Linked DNA regions of Elephas maximus indicus. The protein of the gene in region 1 purifies or fractionates together with the protein of each later gene. This does not show direct contact. Links are inferred from orthologs where the notes say so. Each region holds a gene or a part of one and is shown on either strand. Other genes may lie near its edges. The genes, in order: GOLPH3 and FAM20B.

Region 1 (15,959 bases):
AACTGCAGGGAGCACGAGCAAGGGAGTAGAACTGCTCCACAGGGTTTCCAAGGCTGTAACCTTTTGGAAGCAGATCGCCAGGCCTGCCTTCCTAGGTGCCTCTGGGTGGGTTCGAACTGCTAACTTTTTGGCTTATAGTCAAGTGCTTAACCATTTGTGCCAGCCAGGAACTCCTTAAGAGTGTGCTACTGGTGCATAAATAGACCGCAAGTGTATATTTTTTGGGGAAAAGCCTATTTATCATTTTTTTAATAGCATTGTTTGTAATAGCAAAGGATTGGAAACAACCTAAATGTCCATCAATAGGGGACTGGCTAAACAAAGTATGGTATGTTCATACTATAGAATATGCTGTAGCTGAGACAAAGCGTGAAGAAGCTCTTCAGTATTGATATGCAAAGTTTTCCAACGAGGAAAAGCATTTTCGTATTTGCTTGAATCTACATTAAAAAGTTTTGGAAGGGTATCCAAGAAACTAATATCAATGGTTATCTGTGTTTGTGTGTGTTTGTGTATGTATTACTGCATAACAAATTACTCCAAATTTAGCAGTTGAAACAACACACATATATAATCTCACGGTTTCTGTGAGTTAGGAATTAGGGAGCAGCTTAGCTGTGTGGTTCTGGCTCAGAATCTTTCATGAGATTCACCTGAAGGCCTGACCGGGGATGAAGCATCTGCTTCCAACATGGCTCCCTCACATGGCTCTTGGCAGGAGACTTCAGTTCCTCCCCATGTGGACCTCTCCATAAGGCTGCTTGAGTGTCTTTATGATATGGCTTCCCAAAAGTGAAGGACCCACAAGAGAAAGAAAGATGCTGCAAGGATTTTTATGACCTATTCTAGAAAGTCACACACAGCCACCTCTGCCGTATTCTATTTATTGGAAGAGAGTCACTCAAAGGGAGGGGAATTAGGCTCCACTTTATGAGGGGAGGAATATCAAAGAATTTGTTAACACATTTTAAATCTACCACAAAGGGGAACAACTGGGTGAATAGGGGTAGTTGGAAGAAAGATTTTCACCATACCACATTTTTTAAATATAATTTTTATTGCGCTTTAAGTGAAAGTTTACAAATCAAGTCAGTCTCTCACACAAAAACCCATATATACCTTGCTACACACTCCCAATTACTCTCCTTCTAATGAGACACTCTGCTCTCTCCCTCCACTCTCTCTTTTCATGTCCATTTCACCAGCTTCTAACCCCCTCTACCCTCTCATCTCCCCTCCAGGCAGGAGATGCCTACATAGTCTCAAGTGTCCACCTGATCCAAGAAGCTCACCCCTCACCAGCATCCCTCTACAACCCATTGTCCAGTCCAATCCTTGTCTGAAGAGTTGGCTTTCGGAATGGTTCCTGTCCTGGGCCAACAGAAGGTCTGGGGGCCGTGACCACCGTGGTCCTTCTAGTCTCAGTCAGACCATTAAGTCTGGTCTTATGAGAATTTGGGGTCTGCATCCCATTGCTCTCCTGCTCCCTCAGGGATTCTCTGTTGTGTTCCCTGTCAGGGCAGTCATCGGTTGTAGCCGGGCACCGTCTAGTTCTTCTGGTCTCAGGATGATGTAGTCGCTGGTTCATGTGGCCCTTTCTGTCTCTTGGGCTCGTAATCACCTTGTGTCCTTGGTGTTCTTTATTCTCCTTTGATCCAGGTGGGTTGAGACCAATTAATGCATGTTAGAGGGCTGCTTGCTAGCATTTAAGACCCCAGACGCCACTCTTCAAAGTGGGATGCAGAATGTTTTGTTAATAGATTTTATTATGCCAATTGACTTAGATGTCCTCTGAAACCATGGTCCCCAGACCCCTGCCCCTGCTACACTGGCCTTCGAAGCATTCAGTTTATTCAGGAAACTTGGTTTAGTACAATTGTGCTGACCTCCCCTGTATTGTGTGCTGTCTTTTCGTTCACCTAAAGTAATTCTTATCTGCTATCTAATTAGAGAATACCCCTTTCCCACTCTCCCTCCCTCCCCTCTCTCTCAACCACAAAGAGTGTTTTCTTCTCAGTTTAAACTGTTTCTCCAGTTCTTATAATAGTGGTCTTATACAATATTTGTCCTTTTGCAGCTGACTAATTTCACTCAGCATAATGCCTTCCAGGTTCCTCCATGTTATGAAATGTTTCACAGATTCCTCACTGTTTTTTATCGATGTGTAGTATTCCATTGTGTGAATATACCATAATTTATTTATCTATTCATCCGTTGATGGGCACCTTGGTTGCTTCCATCTTTTTGCTATTGTAAACAGTGCTGCAATGAACATGGCTGTGCATATATCTGTTCGTGTAAAGGCTCTTATTTCTCTAGGATATATTCCAAGGAGTGGGATTGCTGGATCGTATGGTAGTTCTATTTCTAGCTTTTTAAGGAAGTGCCAAATCAATTTCCAAAGTAGTTGTACCATTTGACATTCCCACCAGCAGTGTAGAAGTGTTCCAATCTCTCCACAGCCTCTCCGACATTTATTCCTTTGTGTTTTTTGGATTAATGCCAGCCTTGTTGGAGTGAGATGAAATCTGAGTGTAGTTTTGATCTGCATTTCTCTAATGGCTAATGATCGTGAACATTTCCTCATATATCTGTTAGCTACCTGAATGGATTCTTTAGTGAAGTGTCTACTCATATCTGTTGTCCATTTTTTAATTGGGTTATTTGTCTTTTTTGCAGTTGAGTTTTTGCACTATCACGTAGATTTTAGAGATCAGGTGCTGATCAGAAATGTCATAGCTGAAAACTTTTTCCCAGTCTGTAGGTAGTCTTTTTACTCTTTTGGTGAAGTCTTTGGATGAGCATAGGTGTTTGATTTTTAGGAGCTCCCAGTTATCTAGTTTTTCTTCTACATTCCTTATAATGTTCTGTATACTGTTTATGCCATGTATTAGGGCTCCTAACATTGTCCCTATTTTTTCTTCCATGATCTTTATCGTTTCAGATTTTATATTTAGGTTTTTGATCCATTTTGAGTTCGTTTTTGTGCGTGGAGTGAGGTATGGGTCTTGTTTCACTTTTTTGCCTATGGATATCCAGTTATGACAGCACCATTTGTTAAAAAGACTGTCTTTTCCCCATTTAACTGTTTTGGGGCCTTTGTCAAATATGAATTGCTCATATGTGGATGGATTTATGTCTGGATTCGCAATTCTGTTCCATTGGCCCACGTATCTGTTGTTGTACTAATACCAGGCTGTTTTGAGTACTGTGGTGGAATAATAGGTTCTAAAATCAGGTAAAGTAAGGCCTCCCACTTTGTTCTTCTTTTTCAGGAATGCCTTATTTATCTGGGGCCTCTTTCCCTTCCATATGAAATTGGTGATTTGTTTCTCCATCTCATTAAAGAATGTCTTTGGGATTTGGATCGGAATTGCATTAAATGTATAGATTGCTTTTGGTAGAATAGACATTTTTATAATGTTAAGCCTTCCTAACCACGAGCAAGGTATGTTCTTCCACTTATGTAAGTCTCTTTGGTTTCTTGCAGAAGTGCACTGTAGTTTTCTTTGTATAAGTTTTTTACATCTCTGGTAAGATTTATTCCTAAGTATCTTATCTTCTTTTACTATAAATGCTATTGATTTGATGATTTCCTCTTCGATGTTCTTTTTGTTGGTGTAGAGGAATCCAGCTGATTTTTGTATGTTTATCTTGTATCCCGATACTCTGCTAAACTCTTCTATTCGTTTCAGTAGTTTTCTGGAGGATTCCTTAGGGTTTCACTATATACATTTTTATACTCTTCGAACTATGCAAATATATTAATTGGTCAAATGAGCTATTAATTACATTTCTTAAAAAAAGAAGGAACACAATTTCAGCTATTTGGGAAAGCATTAGAAGAAAGATGAAGGAAAAAAAAAAGAGTTCCAGAGGATGTGAATGGGAGAAATTGGCTGAGGCAAAAACGATCTTTGTACAGAAAGACAGGAAAAAGTGAGGGCATATTTTGTATACCTTGGTTGTGCAACGGTTAAGAGCTCAGAGCTCATGCTAACCATCGGGTCCATGGGAGAAAGACCTGGCAATCTGATCCTGTAAAGATTATCCGTTACCTGTTGCCGCCTAGTTGGTTCTGACTCATGTTAACTTTATAGGACAGAGTGGAACTGCCTCACAGGGTTTCCAAGGGTATAATTTTTTTTCCTATAAAAGGAATATATTCATAACAAAGGCACAGAAATCATTGTATACCAAGTTCAATCCTCTAACATCCTGAAATACATACACATACATACTGTACATAAAATTATATTATCAATATAAAAACACGTCATTAACTTTTCTAAGGATGACAAATATAGAACCAAAAAATATCAGAATTCTATAACATCTTCTTACATTAAGTGCTGGTGAATAAGATGACAGTAAAAGAAAGAGGTCAAAGCGGACCAGAAAACCAACCTCATAACGGCAGGTTACAGACCTCAGTTGGTTTGCAGGGTGTTATGGATTGAATTGTGTCCCCCCAAAATGCATGTCAACTTGGCTAGGACATGATTCCGAGTATTGTGTGATTGTCCACTGTTTTTTCATCAGATATGATTTTCTTATCTGTTGACAATCCTACTCTATGATGTTAATGAGGTAGGATTAGTGGCAGTTATGTTAATGAGGCAGGACTCAATCTACAAAATTAGGGTGTGTTTTAAGTCAATCTTTCTTGAGATATAAAAGAGAGAGGTGAGTAGAGAGACAGGGGGACTTCATACCACCAAGAAACAAGAGCCGGGAGAATATCGTGTCCTCAGGACCCAGGGTCCCTAGGCTGAAAAGCTCATGGACTAGGGGATAATTGATGACAAGGACCCTCCCCCAGAGCCGACAGAGACAGAAAGCCTTCCCCTGGAGCTGGCACCTTGAATTTGGACTTCTAGCCTCCTAGACTGTGAGAGAATAAATTTCTCTTTGTTAAAGCTATCCACTCGGTATTTCTGTTACAGCAGCACTAGATAACTAAGACAGGGGGAGGTATCCCAATATTCCCCATGCATTTAAAAGTGCCTGATGTCATCAACTCTCAAAGACAGAGCAAGGAAGAATTTGACATTATGGCACTTTTTTTTTGGCCACAGAGACACACTTCAGCCGCATTTAGTGAAATAAAGGAATGTCAATAAGCTTAACTTAAAATCACTGCCTTCACAACCTAAACTATGTAGCACCAGGCAGAATGTACTCCTCCTTCCTCAACCTTTGTGTCTCATGTTCAATTGTTTTTCCTTTTCAGTAGGTAAATTGCATGGATATTCAAATGGCACAAACGAGATGAAAACCCAACATTAATTCTAGCGTGGGAAACAAGGCACAAGTCTTGATGGCCCCACTGGTGAAGTGGAAAGTGCTGCACTCTAGGACAGACATTCAGGATGGAAACTTGTGTCCAAATATTAGTAGGCTACTGCCACATGGATGCTCTTTTCATAAAGTGTAGGAAACCCCATGTACTTCTAAAATGTCAGAGGCTGGGGGCTGGCTTACAAGACAAAATAGGGAAAACACGTGTAATTGATTTTGCCCATGGACCAGATTTTCAGATTTTAACGCGGGCAGACAACTGGTGAAGAGCTTCTTAAGAGTTGTATTTAAGTCAGGAAATTCTCTCTCTTGTGTGTATGTATTTCTGTCAGACAGGTGAAGTATCTGAAATGTGCTGTGTGAGGGGACAAGGGGGACAAAACATTGCCACCATCCCACAGCACATTTCTTTAAGGTCTGTGAGGCTTTCTAGTTTCTAACCAAATAAACCAAAACACCAAACCTGTTGCCATTGAATCTATTTAGGTTCCTGCAAATCAGCCAACCCCCTTTTGTTTCAGGCCGGATTTCTGGCTTGAATGTGTAACAGATTATCTAGAACTCAAAAGTTCTTTCTGCTACCTTCGTATTGACCTTGAGGTCTAGAACCTAACGTAAACTTGCATGAGGCTTTCACTACTCAGACTAATCCCAGGAAAGACTCCTTACTCAGGGATCCCCTTCCTTGGAGTCAGAACCAGTGGCAGGAGCTGGGAGGTGAGGAATGCATTGGAGGATGGGGTTATCACGAGAAGTGTAGAACTGAAAAAGCAGCTGTACATTTTAAGAAGACTCTGGTTTCTCCAACTCGGGATTCTTGGAACCCAGTATATATTGGAGAGTTCACAGGTCAGGCTGCATGGTCCGGTCCAGAATCTGGCTGGTATCTGGTTTCCTCGCATCATAAATACTTCCTTACAGATCAAGTACAACTCAAAAGAACCCATCCAATCAACATATCACAATCGGCTTTGCCATCACTGAGTCAAATCATCTATAAGATCTTGGAGCTCCTGAATCACTTCTGGAAATGAGGAAACAGGATTTATTTAACCTTTAAGAATGATACACCATCTGGTGTTAGCCACATCGAAGGCTAAGTAAGTCAAAGTTTGGAAGCTGATTTGAATAACTGCAATGATCCTTGGGTACTGCAGGTTCTTCTCTTGCTGCCCAAAGTCCTCAGAGGTGTAGAGCGCCAGAAGCAGGGACGGGTCAGTCCTGGAGGTACAACCCTGCCCCCTGCCTGTCCTGAGGAAGCAGTGAGATGTGCATGCTCAGAGCTGCACTGGGAAGGGTGCATGGTTACAGTTCCTAGGACATTCTGTCCACAAGCGGCGGCTACTCCTTGGGCTTCTCTAGAATGTTGAGGAATTTCCCTCCTGTCATTTCTCTGGACTCATCCAGACCCAGCTCGAAGGCCAGATTCTGAGGGCCTCATACCTTCTCCATTAAATTAGCTGTGGTGAGATGCCCAGCTCTTTCAACATGTCAATACCATCACATTCTATTTCAGCCAGAAATAGGTGGAGAGCTAGAAATAGGACTTTTTGAAGGAAGCTGCAAATTCAGCAACACCTGGTATTCGTTCGGGCCAAAGGTCTGGTGAGCCACGGTCACGTTTTTCAAAACTAGGCCAAGGTGCTTCCAGATCTGTCCTGTCTGTGGAAGACGCCATCCTCCAACCCATGTCCTGTAATCTTTACAGAAGCAGACTGCCACATCTTTCTCCTGGTGGGGATGGACTAAAGCCGCCACCCTTCTGGTTAGCAGCTGAGTGCTTAACTGTTGTGCCATGAGAGCTCCTTTTTGTTAGATCACAGCCAAGAAAACCCTATGGAGTAGTTCCAGTCTGTCACACAAGGTCACTATAAGTTGAAATTGACTCCAGGGTACCTAACAACTTACTTTGTGCACACCTCAGGAGGAGAAGATTTAGGAAGATTTGGGTAGTGGAGGAGCCAGGGCGAGCTCTGGATAGTAGGTTTCTGTGTGTGTGGGGGGGGGGGGGTGGTGGCTGAGGGATAGGGGGCAACAGTTAGCATCTTGCAGACAGCGTGGCCTACTGACTTGTTATAGTGTTATAGTGGACGTTTTTTCATTCACTGGCTACCTTTTATAGCTTCAGTCCTCTTACAAGGATACAGTTCTCATATCTAAACCATTTAGTAACAGCCTGTGGTCACTGTTTAAGTAATATTGGATGGCATTACTGGATACAAGCTCCACCGTCCCTCAGGTTTGACATCCATCCTTAACATAATTTGCCCAAATGAGACAGGGAAGAGGTAGGGCCGGCTATAATTAAATGCCTCTGACTCAAGTATTCTTGGAATCTAAACCTAAGTGCAAACCTCCATATAACTGTTACTGCTAGCACCTGAGAACTACTTGGGATTAACAAACTAGGTGCTAAGACAAGATAAGGGGCTACATTCCAAGCCCCTGTGTGCTTGAATAGTTATAAATTAAAAATACCTAAGTGCAGACCACCATGTAACTTTTACTGCTGGCACTCGAGGACTAGTTGTGATTAACAAACTAGGTGCTTGGACAAGATAAGAGGCCATATTTCCTAGTCCTACATGCTTGACCAGCTATAAATTACTGATAACCCTCCTGAGTTGTTTTTCAAGTCCCTACCAGGTGCATGGCATGTGCATTAAAAATCAAGGCAACCTATGAATGACCTTCCACATGAGATAATCACAAGCAGGGATCCCTTGCCGGACTGGAACCTGGAGCCAGAGACATCACTGCATGCCTAACAGCCCAGAATTAACTCCCGTTCGACAGCCCAGCAGCCCTCCTGACAGACTCAATCTTAGTTCCAACAACCTCTGGGAGGAAATCCATCTTGAATTCCAACTGCGCACGCATTTGATTTTCATAATCCCTCCTCTTCTCCTGGAAATCTCCACCCATCTAATGAAGGAAGAAAACCTTTTATAAACCCTAGGAAATCCTTTGTTCAGGAGAGACTGGAGGCTAGCATAGGTGGAAAACCCCTCTCCATCTCTCCCTTGAGAGCCTTTTTACTTTCTTTTTGTCACTAATAAACCTTTGTTCGTGTGGAACCTCAGAGCCTCTCCTGGTCATTCTCGGTCAGAAGAAGGTAAGAACCTAAGCAGGGCTTAGTCCCCAGCTGGGAAGCCCTGCCCTGTAACACAAACTGTCAAGCACGCCAAGAGAATTTAACCTAGTAATTAAATTGAAAGATTTAATATGTACAAAGACGTGGCATGCAACCCAACAGGTTTACGATTTCTATAAAAAGGTCGTTAAGGTCGAGTGGGCTAACGTGTGCAACACTAACTGTACTTACTGCAGCCTGGTCACTTTATAGCGCAAGTCGAGAGGTAAGGAAAAGTTATATGAACAAAACTATTAAATTTCCTTCTAACCTCTGTTTTCATGTATTAACACACCTAGAACACACTACAATCCCATTCTAAAACCCTTTATATGCTGGTGTTCCTTTCGAAGGTCCAGAGAGTCTGGGCAAAGAGTGCGCCCTCTCCTCGCCCCGCCAGCAGCGAGCAAAGCCCTTCGTTCATCTCGCGGGGACGCTAAGCCTGCTCCCTGCCACCCGGGCCAAGGACCCAACACCGAAGACTGTGGTGTCCAGGATTCTAAGAGCACAGCTCGAGGCTGAGCAGTGCCCACCCCTTGCTCCCCCATTCTTGTCTGCCAGCCGCAGCCCGTGAGGTGAGGGGAGGAGGAGCGGGCGCAGGCGCAGGAAGGACACGTCACAGGTAGGGGATGGCAGGTCGGGTGGCGAAGGGACGCGCCGGGAAGGGCAGGCGCGGGCCGGAGCCAAGGGCCCGCGAAGGGGATCAGCTACGGCGAGTCTCCGCCCGTGCCCGCCGCCGCGTCCCCGCCCGCTGCTTCCGGCTCCGTCCGGTCCGCCCCGCGCCGACTCTGCCACATCCTCCGGTGACGTCAGCTAGCGCCGCCATATTGGAAAGGCGCCGCCGCCTCCTCCGCTTCGGAGCTTGGGCGCCTCGGGGGCCGCGACCGCGGGGAGGAAGGAGCTCCTCACCAATCTTGCCGACGGCTGGCCCGCCGGCTCCCGCCCCGGCCCGTCTCCCCATGACTGCCCCCGGCCCCGCTGCCGACGGACGTCGCTCCAGCGCCCGGGTTTAACACGGAAGCCGCGGTCCAGGGCCGCGGGAGGAAGAGGAGGAAGACCCGGTAGGTCCCGTGTCCCTCTCGGCCCGGCGCCTCGGCCGGAGCCATGACCTCGCTGACCCAGCGCAGCTCGGGCCTGGTGCAGCGGCGCACCGAGGCCTCCCGCAACGCCGCCGACAAGGAGCGGGCGGCGGGCGGCGGCGGTAGCAACGGCGAGGACGACGCGCAGAGCCGCCGCGACGAGCAGGACGACGACGACAAGGGCGACTCCAAGGAAACGCGGCTGACCCTGATGGAGGAGGTGCTCCTGCTGGGCCTCAAGGACCGAGAGGTAGGGGCGCGACGGCGAGGGCGGGGCGGCCCCAGGGGCCCGGGCCAGGTGGGCGCCCACTGCGGCCCCGCACGCCTGCTTGTCTCGCTCCCGAGTTCCGCGCCGGGGCGCCAACTTGCCCCGAGGAGTGTTGGAGTTAGTTTCCCCTCTACTGGCCCTGTGCTCTCCACATCCTCCCAGTACAGATTGCTTGGATTTTCCATTCCTCCCTCCACGGGCACACTTTCATTTCGACACCCTGGCAGTCTGCATTTCCTCCTTGATTTTTTTCCTGCTTGATTAACCCGTGTAGACCCCAGGTGCAGCTCCAGCCTGGAGACTGTAGGTTAGAGTGAAAACATCTGGAACCTCCAGCGCCCCCAACTCACGGGTTTTGCAGGGTTGAGGACCTGGGAGGAGTACACGGATCTGCTTTCTGGGGAATTTTTCCCCCAATTAAGGCGCACTGTTGCAATTATGAAAATTTTTGGTGAAGTGGTAGTGGAGACAAAAGTTATTTTGCTGAGTAAAGTTAAAAGTCAAACAAAATCCTTGTGGACCCTCCTGGAAAGTTACTTTTTGAGTGAACTTGGCGTTCGGTGAGAGATTATTTTTAGTGGCGCCTTTAAATTGTCAGTTGACTATTCTCAAAGTCTTGCCATTTTCAGGAAGGGCCTTTTATGTAGGGTGCTTGAAATGCTATGTTTATAATTTGATGAGAGGCCTCAAAGCCTTTAAAGAAAAATCTCCAAAGCAAACACAGTGCCGTCGAGTCGATTCCGACTTATAGCGAAGTAGAACTGCCACCGTAGAGTTTCCAAGGAGCGCCTGGCGGTTTTGAACTGCCGACCCTTTGGTTAGCAGCCGTAGCACTTAACCACTATGCCACCAGGGTTTCCAGAAACCAAATCCACTGCCATCGAGCCAGTTCCGACCGATATCAAGCCTAGAGAGGACAGAGTAGAACTCCCTCCTAGGGTTTCCAAGGAGCAGCTGGTGGATTTGAACTGCAGACCTTTTGGTTAGCAGCCAAGCTCTTAACCGCTGCCCCAAAGCCTTTAGGTAGGTTAAAGTTGTGAAAGATATTTCTTTGTGTTCTTACTATAAAAAAGATTAGTTTCACCCCAATATTTTATGAAGATTTTCGCGCATAGGTTTGGAAAAGTTGAAAAATGAATGATACGTGAAACAGTTAACGGTTTGGTTTGTTACATGTACAAAAATGATTGTCATTAAAGACAGATCTGCATACCCTCAGAGAAGAGTATGGTGAGGTAGTCCCAGAAGCTTGTTTTATCTCAGCGTGGAAAATGCAGACAGCAGGTACTGAGAGTCAAACTCAAAAGTAATCCCAAGTTTTATTTCTAAGAGCATTACAGATTCATGGAGGGGGGCAAAAAAGTTTCAGTATTGTAAAATAACTTAGTTTTTTTTTCTGAATTCATCAAAACCTGACAGATACAGATGAGTTCTAATTACGTGGGCTGTTTGTGGACTCCTGATACTTGAGAAAAAAGTTTACCTTGATAGAAATGCGAAGAGCTTTTGCAATATCTCGGTTTCCCATTTGCCCTGGCTTTAGTAATCACTTTGAAAAAAGTTGTTTTATTTCAGTCCCCTTGGCTGTGAAAGGGGCCCAGTACCTGTTTAATTACTGAGTTTTGATGAGAAGAGGTAGGCTATATGAGAAATTTCTTTATCCTGTTTTGGATGAAAAAGCATCTAGATCTACAGTTTCCTAGTAATGTGATTTTAAAAAGCATTCAACTTACCTTTTTAGGCATCACAATTTGGAATCTTGCTAATAAACTTGCTTAAGTCTTTTTTTTTTCCTTTGGGAGAAGAGTAACAGATCACTGCAGACATTTTACAAAATACAAAAAGGGAAAATGAAGAAATCACCCATATTCCTGTGTGAACATTTTGGCTTACAGTTTTTGAGACTTTTCTGTGTGGTTAAGTCCTGTGTTTGTGTAAAATGAAAACATAAAAAACAAACAACCAAAACCAAAACAAAAACTAGCATCTGGCACTCTGAGTCACACTAAATGAGAAGTTATGGTGAGAAACTACTTTTTTTTGTTTTTTAAAGTATATGTTACTCTGAATGTTTATGCTAAAGCATATTAACATACAGTTTTTCTGTGGTTCTTGTGAAGATGATCTAAAGAATTTGTTGAAGTTTAATGGTACTTATGAAATTGAGACAATTCATAGTTCTTTGGTGCAGGTAATGAAAACCATCTGTTGTGTTTATTTTGTGTCAGGAGTCACTATACTTTGCATGTTATGGCCAAGGTCCAGACTAGCTAATCCTGAGCTACCCTTGCTGATTTCAGAAACCACATAGGGAACTTTTTTTTTTTTTTTTGCAGACAAGTCCAGGGAGTTGAGAGGGAAGAGGAGGAGGTTGGAATTTTGCATTGCTTTAGATTTGTGGTTTTAAACGTTAGCTTATGTATATATTTTCCTGTCATCACATCTTTATATACTAATATCTAGCCCTCTCAGTACAATTATTCATGTATTTTTCTTTTGGGGAAGTATCCCCCCCCCATGTCTTTAACTTGTATCACTTTTTTTAGGGGGCAGGAATTGCTAGAGCCTAGGCATTTATTCTCATTCATATTAATAGTTTTTGAGACTTTTCTGTGTGGTTAAGTCCACACAGAAATTGGATACAAAACTTTAGCCATAATATATAACCTAATAAATTTACTCTTTGAATTTTGTTTTTTTAACTTAGCATCCATCGTTACAATATCTGGATATTCTTAAGATATTTAAAAGCTAAACTCTAAAATTAGGTAGGTTATTAATATTGGGTTTAATTTATATGTATGGAAGCTAACCATCTGAAATCAAGACCATCAAAAAATAAGAATTGCTCATTGGTAGAATTAATTTTAATTTGACTTTCTTAAAAAACTATGACTATCAATTTACGTTTTATGGCTTATTACAAATTTTTTTTAATTGAAGACTAATAAACCTACAGAAAAGTACATACAGGCAGTCCCCGGGTTTTGAACATCTGACTTACTTACAACCCTTATTTATAACCCGTAGTTCCGGACCAGTCTTTGTAAAGCCCATTATGTTACAAATTTGAGGTATGTACAATGGTTTGTAATAACAAATGGATGTTACTTTGTGACACGAAACAAAACATTACTATTACTGTATTATTATTTTAAAGATGTTTTATTGTATGTGGAGGTATTTCGTGTTTTTTATGCATAGAAAGGTACACTATATACCAAGACAAACATTTGACTTACTAACGTTAGATATGAACCGTTCCTATTAGTACAAATTCAACTTAAAGACAGACTTAGAAACAGAGCTCTTTCATAGTCTGGGGACTGCCTGTATATCATAAGTGTGATGAAGTTCCACAAACTGAATACACCCATTTAACCAGCACCTAGAGCAAGAAACAACCTGGCCAGCTCTCTAGGAGCCCCACTTAATTCCTTTCCAGTCACTGTTTATTCCTCAGGGGTAACTGCTAAGCCTGACTTTAGAATTTAGCTCAGATGTATTTTGCCCAGTTTTGTACTTTCTTTTGTGTTTGGCCTTTTTTTTGTAAGGTGATTGTTCATTCTCATTGGCTTTATCAACTTTTAACACATTTATAATCTACAGTACAGATTACTTTTTTTTTTTATTAACTTTTATTAAGCTTCAAGTGAACGTTTACAAATCCAATCAGTCTGTCACATATAAGTTTACATACATCTTACTCCGTACTCCCACCTGCTCTTCCCCTATTGAGTCAGCCCTTTCAGTCTTTCCTTTCCTGACAATTTTGCCAGCTTCCCTCTCTCTCTATCCTCCTATCCCCCCTCCAGACAAGAGCTGCCAACACACTCTCAAGTGTCCACCTGATATAATTAGCTCACACTTCATCAGCATCTCTCTCCCACCCGCTGACCAGTCCCTTTCATGTCTGATGAGTTGTCTTTGGGGATGGTTCCTGTCCTGTGCCCACAGAAGGTCTGGGGAGCATGGCCGCCGGGATTCCTCTAGTCTCAGTCAGACCGTTAAGTATGGTCTTTTTATGAGAATTTGGGGTCTGCATCCCACTGATCTCCCGCTCCCTCAGGAGTTCTCTGTTGTGCTCCCTGTCAGGGCAGTCATCGATTGTGGCCGGGCACCAACTAGTTCTTCTGGTCTCAGGATGATGTAGGTCTCTGGTTCATGTGGCCCTTTCTGTCTCTTGGGCTCCTAGTTGTCGTGTGACCTTGGTGTTCTTCATTTTCCTTTGCTCCAGGTGGGTTGAGACCAATTGATGCATCTTACATGGCCGCTTGTTAGCATTTAAGACCCCAGACGCCACATTTCAAAGTGGGATGCAGAATGTTTTCATAATAGAATTATTTTGCCAATTGACATAGAAATCCCCTCAAACCATTTTCCCCAGACCCCCGTCCCTGCTCCGCTGACCTTTGAAGCATTCATTTTATCTCGGAAACTTGTTTGCTTTTGGTCCAGTCCAATTGAGCTGACCTTCCATGTATTGAGTGTTGTCTTTCCCTTCACCCAAAGCAGTTCTTATCTACTGATTGATCAATAAAAAATCCTCTCCCTCCCTCCCTCCCCCCTCCCCGCTTCGTAACCACAAAAGTATGTGTTCTTCTCAGTTTTTACCATTTCTCAAGATCTCATAATAGTGGTCTTATACAATATTTGTCCTTTTGCCTCTGACTAATTTCGCTCAGCATAATGCCTTCCAGGTTCCTCCATGTTATGAAATGTTTCAGAGATTCGTCACTGTTCTTTATCGATGCGTAGTATTCCATTGTGTGAATATACCACAATTTATTGACCCATTCATCTGTTGATGGACACCTTGGTTGCTTCCAGCTTTTTGCTATTGTAAACAGAGCTGCAATAAACATGGGTGTGCATATATCTGTTTGTGTGAAGGTTCTTGTATCTCTAGGGTATATTCCGAGGAGTGGGATTTCTGGGTTGTATGGTAGTTCTGTTTCTAACTGTTTAAGATAACGCCAGATAGATTTCCAAAGTGGTTGTACCATTTTACATTCCCACCAGCAGTGTATAAGAGTTCCAATCTCTCCGCAGCCTCTCCAACATTTATTATTTTGTGTTTTTAGGATTAATGCCAGCCTTGTTGGTGTGAGATGGAATCTCATCGTAGTTTTAATTTGCATTTCTCTAATGGCTAATGATCGAGAGCATTTTCTCATGTATCTGTTGGCTGCCTGAATATCTTCTTTAGTGAAATTTGTGTTCGTATCCTTTGCCCACTTCATGATTGGGTTGTTTGTCTTTTTGTGGTTGAGTTTTGACAGAATCATGTAGATTTTAGAGATCAGGCGCTGGTCTGAGATGTCATAGCTGAAAATTCTTTCCCAGTCTGTAGGTGGTCTTTTTATTCTTTTGGTGAAGTCTTTAGATGAGCATAGATGTTTGATTTTTAGGAGCTCCCAGTTATCTGGTTTCTCTTCATCATTTTTGGTAATGTTTTGTATTCTGTTTATACCTTGTATTAGGGCTCCTAGGGTTGTCCCAATTTTTTCTTCCATGATCTTTATCGTTTTAGTCTTTATGTTTAGGTCTTTGATCCACTTGGAGTTAGTTTTTGTGCATGGTGTGAGGTATGGGTCCTGTTTCATTCTTTTGCAAATGGATATCCAGTTATGCCAGCACCATTTGTTAAAAAGACTATCTTTTCCCCAATTTACTGACACTGGTCCTTTGTAAAATATCAGCTGCTCATACGTGGATGGATTTATATCTGGGTTCTCAATTCTGTTCCATTGGTCTATGTGCCTGTTGTTGTACCAATACCAGGCTGTTTTGACTACTGTGGCTGTATAATAGGGTCTGAAATCAGGTAGAGTGAGGCCTCCCACTTTCTTCTTCTTTTTCAATAATGCTTTGCTTATCCGGGGCTTCTTTCCCTTCCATATGAAATTGGTGATTTGTTTCTCTATCCCCTTAAAATATGACATTGGAATTTGGATCGGAAGTGCGTTATATGTATAGATGGCTTTTGGTAGAATAGACATTTTTACTATGTTACGTCTTCCTATCCATGAGCAAGGTATGTTTTTCCACTTAAGTATGTCCTTTTGAATTTCTTGTAGTAGAGCTTTGTAGTTTTCTTTGTATAGGTCTTTTACATCCTTGGTAGGATTTGTTCCTAAGTATTTTATCTTCTTGGGGGCTACTGTGAATGGTATTG
Region 2 (15,691 bases), on another chromosome or scaffold:
GGAATATATCCTAGAGAAATAAGAGTCATCACACGAATAGATGTACATGCATGTTCATTGCAGCATTGTTCACAATAGCAAAAAGGATGGATACAACCTAGATGCCCATCAACAGATGAATGGATTAAAAAACTGTGGTACACACACACAAGGGAGTATTATGCAATGCTGAAGAACAACAGTGAATCTGTGAAGCATCTCATAACATGGATGCATCTGGAGGACATTATGTTGAGTGGAATAAGTCAATCACAAAAGGACAAATATTGTATGAGACCCCTACTGTAAAAACTCATGAAAAGGTGTACATACAAAAAGAAACAATCTTTGATGGTTATGAGGGCGGGGAGATGCTGGGATGCAAAAACACTTAACAGACAGTAGATAAGCGGTAACTTCTGTGAAGGGTAAGACAGTACACAACACTAGGGATGCCAGCACAACCTGTACAGGCAAGGCCATGGTAGCTCCACAGACACATCCAAACTCCCTGAGGGACTGAATTGCTGGGCTGGGGACTGTGGGTATCATGGTCTCAGGGAACATCTAGCTCAATTGGCATAAGAGTTTATAAAGAATATATTCTACACTCTACTTTGGTGAGTAGTATCCTGGGTCTTAAAAGCCTGTGAGCAGCCATCCAGGATACTCCACTGGTCTCACCCCTTCGGGAGCAAGGAAGAATGTAGAAAACTTAAGATATAAGGGAAAGATTAATCCAAAGGACTAATAGACCACATCTACCATGGCTTCCACCAGACTAAGTCCAGTACAACTAGGTGGTGCCCGGCTACCACCACTGACTGCTGTGACAGAGGTCATAATAGAGGGTCCCGGGCAGAGATGGAGAAAAATGTAGAACAAAATTCTAACTCAAAAAGAAAGACCAGACTTGCTGGCATGACAGAGACTGGAGAAACTCTGAAAGTATGGCCCCTGGACACCCTTTCAGCTCAGTAATGAGGCCACTCCTGAGGTTCACCTTCAGCCAAAGATTGAACAAGCCGTGCAACAAAACAAGACTAAAGGGGTGCACCGGCCCTGAGGCAGGGACTGGAAGGTAGGAGGGAACAGGAAAGCTGGTAATAGGGAACCCAGGGTTGAGAAAGGAGAGTATTGACATGTCATGGGGTTGTTAACCAATATCATACAATGATGTGTGTAGAAATTGTTTGATGAGAAACTAGCTTATTCTGTAAACCTTCATCTAAAGTTCAATAAAAAGTAAAAAAAAGAACCTCTAATACATATATATGTGTGTGTATATATATATATATATATATTTTTTGTTAATGCAATTGAAGGAGGGACAAAGTTCTCTCTGATTTGTTGTGTTCCTCAACACTTCTGGTTGTCTCATCCTTGGCCTGCTTCACTCATTCCCCTTTGTGGCTGGCAGCCATAGGCTTCTGAATGCTTAAGCCCCACTGAGAGGAAAGATGCAGAGGGTCTGATCCACCAAGGGCAGTATCTTAACCACCCAGGTCATTGGCTTCCTTGTCACATCTCTCTTACCTTCACTTACTACTGGGTGGGGGGTTGGAGAGAAATGACTAGTTTCCTGGTAGCAGGTGTTCTGAAAGACCAATCCACCTCCCTTTGAAAATAAAAATCAATTGCGCACATATTAGACCGAGGCATATGAAATTGCCAATATTCATCTAGTCTTGGCCTGTAAAAATGGCAGTTTCATATGGTTCAACCTGCTAAGTGATTCTGGCTTAGTCTCCAGTAGAGCAGTGGTTCCCAACCTTGGCTGCAAATGAGAATAACCTAGGTGCTTTTAACAAATACTCTTGCCAGGACCTCACCTGAAGACAATCAAATTTTAATCTTTGAGAATAGGGGCAGGCATGTTGCTGTTGTTAGTTACTGTTGAGTTGACTCCAACTCATGGTGGCCTAACATATTACAGAACAAAACACTACCTGGTCCTGTGCCATCTTCATGATATTGGTATCTTTGAGCCTATTGTTTTGGCTATTGTGTCAATCCATCCCACTGCGGGTTTCCCTTGTTTTTGTTGACCCTCTACTTTACCAAACATGATGTCCTTTTCTAGTGATTGTTCTTTCCTGATGATGTTCAAAGTACGTGAGTCAAAGTCTCACAATCCTCCCGTATAAGAAACGTTCTGGTTGTATTTCTTCTAAGACTGATTTGTTCATTCTTTTGGCAGGCCATGGTATGGTATATTCAAAATTCTTCAATATCACAGTTCAAAACTCATCAATTCTTCTTCTGTCTTCTTTTTCACTGCACAGCTTTTACGTGCATATGAGATGACTGAAAAGACACAAGGATGTTTTTTTAAAAGTTACTGTACGGCCAGATTGAGAACTGCCATTTTAGCACATTCCCGAGTCAAAGAGCCTTCTCCCTTAACTCCTTAACCTGTGGATGATGGAGGCTTGCTGGCTTTTTGTAAGAAAAGTTGGTAAGAGGAATTTGAGGGACCCAGAACTTTCATGTGACTGGCAGTGGTGACCCAAGAATTTCAAATACTTAAATGCCTTAAATTGAGTTAATAAAAATTCAAGATCTTCCATCACATCAAAAAAAATTTTTTTTCAAGTATGTTAAACAGCCATATGCATGTGGCATCATCCTAGACATATTACAAAATTACTCTTTTATGGGAATTAGCAATATTGTCTATACCGAATTTGCAGTATTGTCTATACCAAACCCATCGAAGAGCCTTCTGGCATTATAGAAGACATAACAAATTGGAAAATGTTCAAAGACATGGCCTTGGACATTCATTCAAGAGTGTATATACCACCACAAATTGTACATTTTGGAATGCTTAATTACATTACTGCAGCCATCCGTGCAATAAAGTGAAACATAGCTTTGAGAGCCATATCTCCTTTGCATTCTTATTAACTCTAAATGTTTAAAAATAATAACCTGTGTCCCTAATTTTTTTTTTTTTTTTTTGCTTCTAATGAGCAGATTTAATAATCAAATGGACGGATAAGTATATTTTCAAAAACTCTTTACTTCTTCAGCGTGAGTTGCTCAACTCTGCAAATATACTAAAAACCAGTGAACTGTACACTTTAAACAGTTAAGCTGTGCTGCTGTTGTTAGGTGCCACTGAGTTGGTTCCGACTCACAGTGACCTATGTACAACAGAACAAAACACTGCCTGGTCCTGCACCATCCTCACAGTCATTGCTATGTTTGAGCCCATTGTTGCAGCCACTGCATCAACCCATTTGGTTTAGGGTCTTCCACTTTTTTGCTGACCCCTCTACTTTACCAAGCATGATACCCTTCTCCAGGGGCTAGTCCCTCCTGATAACATGTCCAAAGTACGTGAGACAAAGTCTCACCATCCTTGGTTCTAAGGATCATCCTGGCTGTACTTCTTCCAAGACAGATTAGTTTATTCTTCTGGCATGGTATATTCAATATTCTTCGCCAACATCATAATTTAAACATATCGATTCTTCTTCAATTTTCCTTATTCATTGTCCAGCTTCCGTGTGCATATAAGGCAATTGAAAATACCAATGGCTTGGGTCAGGAGCACCTTAGTCCTCATGGCAACATCTTTGCTTTTTAACAGGTCTTTTGCAGATTTGCCCAATGCAATATGTCGGTTGATTTCCTGACTGCTGCTATCATGGGCATTGGTTGTGGATCCAAATAAAATGAAATTCTTGACAACTTCAATATTTTCTCCTTTTTTCATGATGTTGCTTATTGGTCCAGTTGTGAGAGTTTTTATTTTCTTTATATTGAGGTGTAATCCATACTGAAGGCTGTAGTCTTTGATCTTCACCAGTAAGTGCTTCAAGTCCTGTTCCCTTTCAGCAAGTAAGGTTGTGTCATCTGCATATGGTAGGTTGTTAATGAGTCTTCCTCCAATCCTGATCTCATGTTCTTCTTCACACAGTCCAGTTTCTCAGATTATTTGCTTAGCATACAGATGGAATAATTATGGTGAAGGGATACAACCCTGACACATACTTTTCTTGATTTTAAACAGTGCAGTATCCCCTTGTTCTGTTGGAATGACTGCCTCTTGGTCCATGTACAGTTCCACATGTACACAATGAAGTGTTCTGGAATTCCCATTCTTCACAATGTTATCCATAACATTGGGTGTGTCTGTTTTGTATGTGGTTTTATAAAGCTGTCACTGGGACTTGAAAGGTTCTCTGATCGACACTGACAGAGGTGCCATGCGAAGGGTTGAGTGAGTGGTCCCGTTGCTGTAAACGAGGGGAGGGCCAGGAGTAGCTCTGCAGAGCTGGTGGCAAAATGAAAGAAATGAGTTTGGCCATTTGGGAAAGAAATGCAGAGGGGCTGTCTACTGAGAGCCAATGCAGAGAATAGACTTGTGGCACACACTCCTAGCAGGGAACAAAGGGACATGTGTGCTCCTTCACTCACTTTTCTTCCTGTCACTGTCACCCTCTCCCCAGGCTTCTAGCACCTTGGAACAGAGTCAGCTTTCCTATAGCTCCTCTCAACTTTCTAGATGTAGAATTAATGTAATTAGCTTTAATGGGACCCATCAATGTGAGTGTACTAATTGGGTTAAAATAATCTGTGTGTGTTTTATGTTTGTGTGTGCAGGCACCACGAGATCTTATACTTTGGGTTGTGGGACTGTTATTTGAGTCCTGGGGCTTACAAATTGGCAGAGATTTGGAAATTCTGAAACAGTTCAAGGAAAATGTTTACACCTACCATAGGGCTAAGAAAGAAACCTCCAGGGCTCCTGGTTTCCCACCTCAGCCAATCCTGCTCTTCCTAAAACTCTCTTTTTTCAAGTGTTGCGTGTGTACCATGTGCCATGAACAGTGTTAGTGCTACAGAAGACACAGACATGAATAAAGCACTGTCCTCAGCCTCAAGGGGTTTACAGTCCAGTGGAACGGGGTCAGATATAGCCCCAAAGGCTTCAATATAAACGATACCACAAGAGAGGTGCAAAGACAGTACTGGATCTCAGAAGCAGAGGAAAGCACACACAGTTGGAAAGGTCAGGAGAGGTTACATGAGCAAGCGGCTTTTGAGAGCCATGTAACATTTTCATGGGTGGACCCTGGGGTGGGGGTGAAGTGGGAGTGCAGGAGGAAGAACCGGTGTGATCATACCAATAGGGGTGGAGGATGGAGGACGGGGAGTGTGCAGAGGGCAAGTGGGCCCTTTAGGGCAGAGGGTAAGGAATTAGCAGACCACGGGCCTGAAAAGGTGGACTGGGACCGTGAATGCAAGCAGAGGAGTTTCTGTCCCATTCAGCAGGTCACAGACATGCCACTGGAGGGTTTCACTCAAGGGCCTAATAACCAACAGAACCACGCCGTTCTTGGCTGGAGAGGGACCCGCCAAATTCCAATCCTGGTTTCAACTCAGTGCACTTCAACACATCACATGAAGAAGGTTCTCTGCATGAGGCACTCCACACGTGGAATATAAAGATGAAATAAAGTTGTAATTTGTGTCCTAAAGAGCCTTGTAGTTTGGTAACAGGGGATAGAGAGGGGAACGGGAGATTAGATAAAGACACCTGCAACCACAACACATCACAGAGTGAGAGAAGCATCTTGGGGGTCTTAGCAAAGTGCTCAGATCTTCCTGCTAGGGCTCTGCTTGACTTTTCATTCTATTTCTCAATGACAGATTGTGAGCCTGTAAAGGATGAAAATCAGACCTTCTTCACCTTTGCATGGCCTGGCTCTAGGTCAGTGCCCGGCACTTGGTAGATATTCATTAAATGAATGAGTGAACGAACGGTTCTTCCATTATGGATCATCTGCTGAGGATATGTGTCTCTAAGTTCACGCGGTGCTACCTGACTTTGGTTCATAATGTCCCTCTATTCTCTCACCTGTTTTTTGCTCATCTCAAGTTCCTTCCCTGACACACCAACCCACATTGTCTTCCTGGACTCTGATTCTTTCAGCCATCACAGAGTCTGTGCTGCAAAATTTAAGTGTCCCGTGTTCCCTGCAGCTGCTTCCTGTGTGCTGGTGATACAAACCCTCTGATGGCAGAGTCCCCTTCTTAAATGACTGTACCTGCTAAATACCTAGAATACAGTGGCTGTTGATTGGTTGGGAAATAAGACCCATATTAGGAGGAGGGAGGAGAAACGAAAGTCGTGAAGGGTCAGGCACAATCACAAAGAGCCTAGGTAATGTGGCCTGGTGAAGAGAAAACTGGGGGACAGAACAACTTTGCTGTCTGAAAGCCTTTGACACAGAGGCCCATGGCTCTTCTTTTCTGAGGACAGAGAGGAGGAAGGGTGTCTGTCCGGCAGCTGAAAGTCCTAAAGACAGGCACTCATCTGTCCAGGAAGCTGAGGCAGCAAGAAGGCTGGCCTTCTGAGCAGTGACAGTAGGAGAGTCCAGCTCGTCATCCTTGTCAGTTACAGGCAAGAAAGGTAAAGGGTCTTAGGGAACTGTTGATTTACCCTTTTGCTTTCAGATCTCTGGATGTGATGAGCAAGGTTCAAGGGGATTAGCTGTCTGTAGGTAGACTAATGTTCCTGTTTAGAGATATACACTAGACTCTCATTACCGTACAGCTCATTTTCCCAAGGATTGTGTAATCCATGGTCAGAAAAGATTCCTAATCCTTTTCAACTATATCCAGAAAAAGGTTTATCCAATGCCTTCTGCACATGACTGTACACTCCTTGCAGTGATTAATGCTTCCTTCAGAGGGGTTGCCTCCCTAAGTAGACTGTCAGGGGCTGGTAACCAACCCAATTATTTCTCTAGGATCTCTTGATAGTAAACACATACATGAATAATAACTAATATTACACAACAATTTGAAAAGTACTTTTCCCACACATTTCCTAATATAAGCCTGATAACAACTCTTTGAAGTAGAGACTATGATTAACTCATTTTCCTGTTAAGGACATGGATGCTCAGAGAGGTTAAATGGCATGCTCAGTATCATAAAGTCAGTAAGGAGTTTTTCCCACTATACCTTGCTGCTTAAATGAACAATGTAATCTGAAAAGGTGTCAGCTCGGTCTTTTCCCCATCACACATCTTATCCCATGGAGAAATGTGCATTATAATGTTTTGGAGTCAGACACACTAAGTTTAGGAAATGGTGAATGAATGAATGAATGAATGCATTATATAGTAAGCAGATTGTCTTAGTCATCTACTGTTGCTGTAACAGAAATACCACAAGTGGATGGCTTCAACAAAGAGAAGTTTATTCTGTCGCAGCCCAGTAGGCTAGAAGTCCGAAATCAGGACACTGGCTCCAGGGGAAGGCTCTGTCTGTTGGCTCTGCAGAGAGGTCCTTATCATCAATCTTCCCTTGGTCTGGGGACACCCCAGCACAGGAACTGCAGGTCGAAAGGATGAACTCTGCTCCTGGCACTGCTTTTTTGGTGGTATGAGGTTCCCCCATCTCTCTGCTAACTTCTCTCTTTTATATCTCAAAAGAGATTGACTTAAGACATTACCTAATCTTGTAGGCCTCATCAATATAACTGCCGCTAATCCATCTTATTACATTAAATGAAATTATTATAAAATATAACTGCCGCTAATCCATCTTATTACATTAAATGAAATTATTATAAAATTAAATTAAATAGGATTTACAACATATAGGGAAATCACATCAGAAGATAAAATGGTAGACAACCATACAAGGGAGTCATGACCTATCCAAGTTGACAGATATTTTGGGGGGACACAATATAATCCATGACACAGACACTCTGTATGAACTCAGAGTAAAGAACTTAGGGGAAGCGAGAATCTTTCATTCAAACTATTTACTGGGAGCCTACTGGGTGTTGGGCATTAGAGACTCACCCAGGCATGACGACCCTGCCCTCGTGGGGCTTACACGTAGTCCAGTGCAAGAGACAGCCGTTAAACAGCTAATCATATAGTAAATTAATCACAATTTTGTTAAACGCTATTAAAAGCTTGTAGCAAGGAACTGTGCTCTGGTTTGAGGGAAAAGAAATTTGTGTAGGAAGGCTGGCTGGCCTCTTTGGATAGGCAGAACTTCCAGGCAGAAGTCCGGTAAATCAAAAGGGCAAAAGAAGGGAAATTGCTTGTCACAAATAGAAGTTGGCCGGGGTACTCCAACTCTCCAGGCCCGTTGCCTGGCTGCCTATCTGCCCAAGACGAGCGAGAAGGAAAAAGCAAGGCAAGAGAGAGGCCAGTTTATGTAAGCGGGGCAGGGCGGCGGGGAAATGAAGTAGAAACGGAGGTGAGCTGGCGCTGATAAAGGGTGAAGAGGTCCCAGCCCGGGACGGAATGGGTTAAAGAGGGGCAGTCCCGAGCGCGGTCAGTAGGACCCGCCCACCGGAGTACGGGGGCGGGGCCGCGCCGAGTGAGCCCTTGGATTGGTCGCGAGGAAGGCGTTACGCTAGGACGGTACCAACAGCCCGGGGCTGCGAGGAGAGGGGGTGGGTGTGGGACGGCCGGCTCTGCGCAGGGAGAGGTGGCCGGGGAATGGCCCGGCCGGGGATGGGCGGGAGCCGCAGTGGCGGCGGCGGCTGGAGGCGGTGAGCGCGGCGTGGGGCTGCCCCTCCCCGGAGGCGGCGGGGGCGGCCGGGCCGCGCCGCACCGCGCCGGCGGCCATGGAGCGAGCCTAGGGCCCGGCAGGTGAGCGGCGTGGGGGCGGGGGCGGGGACGGGCGCGGGGGCGGGCGTGCGACCCCTGCCCCGGCCCGACGGGCGGGAAAGTGTGGGCAGGCACGCGGGCGGGGCGCGGTGCGTGGCGCGCGCCGGGCAACGGCCGCCTGGGGGCGGGGAGCCTCCCTGAGGGGCCGGGCGCTCGCGCCCGAGGGGTCCGGGAGCAGCCGCGGGCGGGTCCCTGCCGTGGAGACAGGCCGGGTGCCGCACTCCTGCGGGCGTTCGCGGGTCACGGCTGAGGGGACGCGGCCTCGGCTGCTCCTCCCCGCCCCGACGGAGGCGCGGGCCTTACCTGGGGGCGCCTCGGGCCGCCCGGGGTCCTTCTAGTGACCAGCCCTTGCGCCCGGGCGCGGTCCATGGAGGCGCCTGGCCCAGGTGCCGCCCTCGCGTCCCTCCGAGCGCCCGTTGCTGCGGCCTGGGGAGGGGCGCGCGCCCGCTGGGTCCCTGCCGGGCCCGCCTCGTGGCCGAGAAGCGCAAGCGACCTGCAGGCGGGGGCGGCAGTGCCCTGGGTTCGGGGCTTGTGTCCCGCGCTCGCAGTCGGGCACAACTTAAGGAAATGATAGGGTACTCCACAGTGGGTTGCGCTTGAGATTTCGTTTCCGGGTGTGATGGCCCCACGATTAAGAGCGACCCAAAGCGTTGCTATTAACGATGAATGTGAGCAGTTGTCAAGCTTCATCCCTGATTGTGGAGTCTGATAAGAGATTCTGTCTAATCACACTTCTGTTACGTGCAAGTCTCCGGGTGGGCAGAGAAGGATGTTGGAGGGAGAGTGGAGGGGACAGAGCATGGTTAGTCGTTATGGAATCAATAGTTTTTTTTTAAAGACCATGTCACCTTTTGGATGGGTGAGGAGTTTGTAATTTGGAGAATGAGAGATGCTTGATACTGCTACTTACAGAGACAGGAGCCAGGTATCAGTATCATCCCCACCCAGCCAGTTTCCTTCTGAGGTTTGATTTCTCATCTTGAAAAGAGGTTGGACTCTGGGTCTTTTAGCTTTTAAATTCTGGGACTTATAAATCTGTAATCTGATAAAGTTAACATTGTTGTTTACTATGTCTATCCTCCTTGTGTTATAAATTCATGTATAAATTTAACTTTTTTTTTTTAATTGGGTTAGAGACCTCAGTATGCTTGTGTTTTACAAACATTCCATGAGTGTATGCAGGACCTTTGAGCTAAGCAACTTAGAGCATTTCCATATATATTATTTGTCACCAGGACATGTCTTTGAGAAATTGAGGTACAAATGTTAAAGATGCTAAATTGTTTGCCTAGGCTCAAAAACAGTCTAAGTTAGATTTTAAAAGTAATGCTTTCCAGTAATAACTTTTCTGAACTTTGTGAAGATATTGTACTTTGGACCCTAGAACCATGTAATAGAGGCCCTTCCACATTTGAAGGTGCTTGTTAAAGGAGAATAAAAAGGTAAAAAAGAAAAACAAGGGGAATGAAAAGGCACAAGCAAGTAATTCAGACTCAGCCTCACTACTAAATAAAGTGCAACAATAGAAATGGATGGAGGTAAAAGATGATGGAGAAATCTTGGAGTTCACCACTTTCCATCTCTCTGGCTGGTAAAAATGTGAGATTGATTTGTTCCGTTTGTTTCTTTAGAACTAGTAGGCAAATCACTACATTTTGGTTAAAGAATGAAAACATATGCCCTACTTTATCTTCCTGGGTACTTTGGACTAGGAAGCAAACAAAAAAAAATCACTATTTCTATCTTTATTTTTCACAATACTTTATATCATAGAACTGTTTTATGTTGAGTTGATAATTTTTAGAAATTCTCTTGATTTCCATTTGTAGATTTCAACTCTTTGACACTGTCTTGAAGCTTCTGCTTTTTATCTTTTCTGAATTTCTAAATGAAATTTTCTTTGTTTCCTTTACTTTTAGCTTCCTGTACTTTGTGTGACTGTCATTTCAGTGGTATAAACCCAAGATCCTTCCATTCTTGAATTGATAACTTTTTAATATAGCTAACCACAGTGGTCTCTTGGTGATCGCTACCATTTCATAATAGAAAAAGTAGGTTCTCTTTGTATTCTTTGGTCGCAGTTGCAAACAAAAAGGAGAATCTTCTGATGATGGACGTAAGGTCACTCTGTGGGACTAAGTGCCAGATGGTTTGTGAATTGGGATGGGGACCACAGTTAGCATGAGACAGTACAGTTTGTTTTAATAGTTACGACAATCAGCATACTTTTCTTTCTGCACCTAACAGTGCCTACTGCATAGTAGGCATGCAGGAAATATTCATTAGTTGAACGAATGAATGGGAAACAGTAGGGTGTAGGGGAAATATTCTAGTGATTGTATTAAATTGTTTAGTTCCTCTTTTTGTCAAAACAAAAACCAAGAAAATTTATTTCTGACTCCTGTTGAAAATATTCTGTTGAGATGGGTTTCTGAAAAGACCTTTACTTGCTGGAGCTGCCTGAGATTCTATGATTATATGGTTCTCCAGCTACATGCAGGCCTGGGAGCAGCCTGTGGTGCTCAGGTAAGATGTGGCTTCACAGACTTGCACCTCCTCTGGCTAGGCCACCTAAGCCATTGGCTTGGTAGTCAATACTTTAGCATTAATAGAAGAATCTAGAGCTCTTGGTATTGGCCCTGCCAGTGGCATTGATCTTGACTGCCCATATTCTTGTCCCTCATGTGGAGAGACAAAATAGGAGAGGGTGCTTCTTGAGGAACCCTGGTGGCACAGCAGTCTGCTTCCATAAAGATTTATAGCCTTGGAAACCCCATGGGGCAGTTCTACTCTGTCCTGTAGAAAAAACCGCTGAAACATAAATGCACCTGTACAGAATATAAGTTCACTATCTAAACCAAGGATGAGAAACAAAAAAGTTCTTTGGCAGCCCAAATAGTGGTTACAAAGTTCATACACTAATACTTGATGGAATTGACTCAAGGGCAACAGGTTTTGGGTGAGGTGCTTCTCCAGCAGCTCCTCCTTCCGCATGTATATATTTCTCACTCTCCTCCTTCCTTGAGCTGCCTCTAACCCTCAAGGCCACTGCATGATTTCTTTAGTGGCATGGACCTGGTGTGCAGGGCAGAAGGTCTTACTCTACTACTGAAGCCAGCTTCTGACCAGCCTACAGTGTCAACGTGACTGCTAGAATCGCCTAGAAGAGAATGTAATGCACAGATCTCACTTCTGATTTTTGTCTTTCTTATCAAAAACAAAAGTACGCCTAGCTCTGGACTTGAAGAATCTTGAGGTGAGTGTGTCATTCCATTCTGAGAAATGGAGGCTTATGCAGAAAGGAGACGTTGAGCTTTGGTGTATGTTTGGGGTCCACATTTTCTGGCCAGGTAACAACCCTTGGGAGGGGTTTTTACTTGGGGTACATTAGAAAATGTCAAGGATTTATGAGTCGGAATCGACTCGACGGCAGTGGGTTTTGGTGGTGGGAAAGCGGGCAGAACGAAGTAGAAGATCCCTATCATTCTGTGCTCTCAAATGTTGACTTTCTGCTTTAGCAACACACTGCATTTACCTAGTATTGTTAGGAAATAGGGTATTTTGTGCCATAGTTCTTATTTTAGCTACACTTTTTGTAGAAAAACTTTTTATAATGTATTACATAGTTTGTTTCCTTTTTAAACAATATACTGTAACCTTTTTTTGTTGATTCAAGGTAATGACTGCCAGTGTCAATTACTGACATGATCAAGTGATGCTTTGAGGTGATTGAAATATGTAGATTGTTTGTTCATCCTGCTTTTTGAATTCTTATATATACTTTTTATAGTCAGTCTGTCTCTTTTTCCAGGATGGGAAAGCTGTACTTTTGCTGCTGTTGGTGTCCCTGCCGCCCTCTCTTAAATATACAGCTTCTGATCTTCTGTGGAGTAGGAACCAAGATAACTGCCTCCTGAAATTGAATGTCAAACGGCTAAATAGGCACTGGAGTCTATTGGCTTTTGTCTGAGTATTAGTGTATGAACTTGGTAACCACTGTTTTGGCTGCCCAAAGACCTTTTTTGTTTATTTCTTGTTTCTCATCCTTGGTTTAGGTAGTGAACTTAAGTTCTGTATAGGTACATTTATGTTTCGGTAGTTCTTTCTGTAGAAAAAAGAAAATAATATGGAAGTACTAGCGTTGGTTCTCATTTCAGAAAGCATTGCCAAAAATACGTGAAGATCTGGTTCCAGCCCTGTCTTGCTTCATTCCTGGGTAGTGTCCTGGGCCATCTCCATTCTTCCTCTTGGCATTTCTAGATTGGTGTCTGCTCCCACTTCGAACCACCACAAGGAACCAGGTTAGCAGTAACAGTGGCCTTGAAAGGTGAAAGAAAGGTATACAGAAGGCAGCTGTTTTAAATTGAGCGTATAAAGTTGATATGCATATTAGATATTTCAGCATTTTGACTGTACTGTATATATGAATTTGTTACAGGGCTTATTTTCCCCATGTCAGTAACGGGCCATCTTTAAATCAAAGAATTGATGGTTCAGAATAAATTCTTATAAAGGCGTTTTTCTTTTGCTCTACACTTCTTTTATTCAACAAGCATTTATTGAGTACCTCTCATACGCCTTGCATTGTGCTAGGTTACTTGGAAAACAAAGAGGGTAACATGTTCCCTATACCCAAGGAGTTCCCAGTATAGTAGAGACAGGCATGCCAAGAATGGATGAATGAACGAAAATATTCATATTTACAAAGTGGTCATACTTGAAGCTGCCCAGCCAGAATTGCAGCACAGACCTGCTTCGGGTTCTACTATTTCTGAAAGTGGTCTTGTGTGGCCTGTGTGGCTTAATACAATCTAGAACATAAGGTTTAAAATGTGAGGTGTTATTGTGTAAAGCTTATATACCTTTTCAAGAGCTGTAGTGAGATGAACAGTAACAATGGAAAGCATAAGAAAATCTGCTTTAAATTATTTTATTTAAAATTCCATGTTTCCACACTATACAGGAATTGTATTCTATAAGATAGCCTTAAGTGGTGGTTATGTACCGACAGCTTGGGCAGTGAAACATCTAGAACCCAGGAAGCTTCGTTATACCTGGCCCATTTAAAGCAGAATGCAAATTCCTAGACGTTTCTAGAGTTTCTAGATCAGTGTGCACTGCCTATATTAGTTTTTTAGAATAAATCTCACCAGCAGTATGAGCTAAGTGTCCCATCCCCATGCCCAAGGAAGAGTGCTAGAGAGTTGCTCTAAATCAAGGTTTAAATGGGGTGAGGTATAGGAATTAAATTTTTTTCAAAGAGGGAACAAACACTCTTTAATATCTGTTCCATTTGTACTCTCACACCCAGGAAGAAAGGCTACCTTAATGCCTCATTAATGCCTGGTAATCGTTTTGGTTGGCATCCTTCACAGGGGACTATTAGAGGATTTCACATAAGAGATTCTGAGTTTATAGATACAACTGTTTAAGTGGAAATGAAAACAGTGAGGAAAATCCAATGCCGGGACCAAATTGGACTATAAGAATCAGATTTTTTATACCAGTAACTCTAAGTTGCTCTTAAGAGCTTTACTTTTTAGGACATATGAAGCTGTCATCTTTAAAGCACAGAGCTAATTTTCCAAGCTGAAGAATATTGTGAAGTGCATTCTCTTTCAACCTTTTTCTAACATAGAACAAGTTCATGCTTCCCATCTGTTTCAGTTACATTGAATGTAGTAGAACTGAGCGTCATAGAGAAAAGAAACAGGCTGGTGAGATTAATAACACAGCCTCCCAGTCTTCTACTTCACGTGGTGCCCACTCTGAAAATGTCTTTTTGCCTGGTCTTATCTGCTCCTCAAACTCGGGAAAGGGTTTGGTTTATGGATTCAAGACAACTAATTACCCTTAAACTCTTAGCAATGCAATGTGTGTATTCAGTTCCTGATTATGTAACTGAGAAGACAAAGTATGGGATGTTGACTCCAGTCAGGGTAATTTTCTTTGTCATTCGTTCTCCTCGCAGGAGATCATCTTTGGATTTATGGTAAGATAATAATGATTAACACTTACTGAACGATTACTGTGGGTCATCCAGGTACTAATCTTAGCACAGCACCTGTAGCAATGTCATTCATTCTTAACAGCAACCCTGTGAATCAGGTAATATGCTCTGGTTTCCATTTTTCGCATGCTGCAGCTGAGGCCCAGAGGTTAGTTAAATCACTTTCTCAGGCCCCACGGTAGGTGGTAAGGCAGGCATTCAGCCTTTTCCATTCTGAATCCGATGCACGTGCCCTTAACCACTCTGCTATAGAAGAGCTTACTTATACCGAGAATAAGAGGGTGAATGAAGAAGCTGTTTCTTGAGTGGAGAATTAGCCAGGAAGGAAAAAACATACATAGGAATGCTGATTAATGATGACACTTGGCATTGGTTTTTATTTTTAGTGAAGACTTCTTATTTGAAGATGAAAAGGAAGAAGGATGTGCTGTTGTGGCAGGCAGCGGGTGGCCGTGCAGGAGTGGGCTGGTTTTCTCTGGGTACTGTACTTGCGATTTATTCAGGTAATAAACACTTGATGCTGTTCAGTATTGGAGGTTTTGACTTCCTGGATAGAAGCACACAATGCGAAGTGGAAAGATACCTGAATGCTCTTAATTTTACTTCTAATCATTGCCACTAACCATCAGGAAAGACTGCATTATTTCAAGGGGGAAGGAGATGGAAACTCTTAACAGCTAATAATGTAGCACATTGCTCTAATGGCACTACCAGTTAAAAAACAAAGGAGCAATATGTCAGACTCAGCCCAGGGTGAAAACGGGCATATGTGTTTTGTACTGATGGATTGTGATCTTTGCTGCCGTTTAGGTTACGGCTGAACTATAAAGATTAGGCTTTATAAACTGAACATGTGAGTCGTGTGTGTGTGTGAGGTTAGCCTTGACTGCTCTGCACAGGACTGAGTAGGGCTCTAAAGTATGTAAATAGATTTTAGCAAATATTCCAGTTGAGAGTCTATTTCTTCCTGTGTTACCTTTGAAAGACCTTAATTATGTATCTCCGTAAACATCTATAGTGGAGGCAGAAAAGAAGTAGAAATGGC

What was found.
Region 2: the proteins of GOLPH3 (region 1) and FAM20B purify together in Homo sapiens (affinity purification with mass spectrometry; 3 studies listed by BioGRID and IntAct, with this or other methods). This does not show direct contact. The link is inferred for Elephas maximus indicus from reciprocal best matches to the Homo sapiens genes GOLPH3 and FAM20B.

The regions. Positions count from the first base shown.
Region 1 is NC_064820.1:37,292,442-37,308,400, reverse strand, and holds the start of GOLPH3 (Golgi phosphoprotein 3), read left to right. Parts: upstream 1-9,271; 5' UTR 9,272-9,538; coding exon 9,539-9,763; intron 9,764-15,959. UniProt on the Homo sapiens protein: Phosphatidylinositol-4-phosphate-binding protein that links Golgi membranes to the cytoskeleton and may participate in the tensile force required for vesicle budding from the Golgi.
Region 2 is NC_064842.1:41,940,424-41,956,114, forward strand, and holds the start of FAM20B (glycosaminoglycan xylosylkinase), read left to right. Parts: upstream 1-8,489; 5' UTR 8,490-8,618; intron 8,619-12,237; exon of another isoform or gene 12,238-12,937; intron 12,938-15,691. UniProt on the Homo sapiens protein: Responsible for the 2-O-phosphorylation of xylose in the glycosaminoglycan-protein linkage region of proteoglycans thereby regulating the amount of mature GAG chains.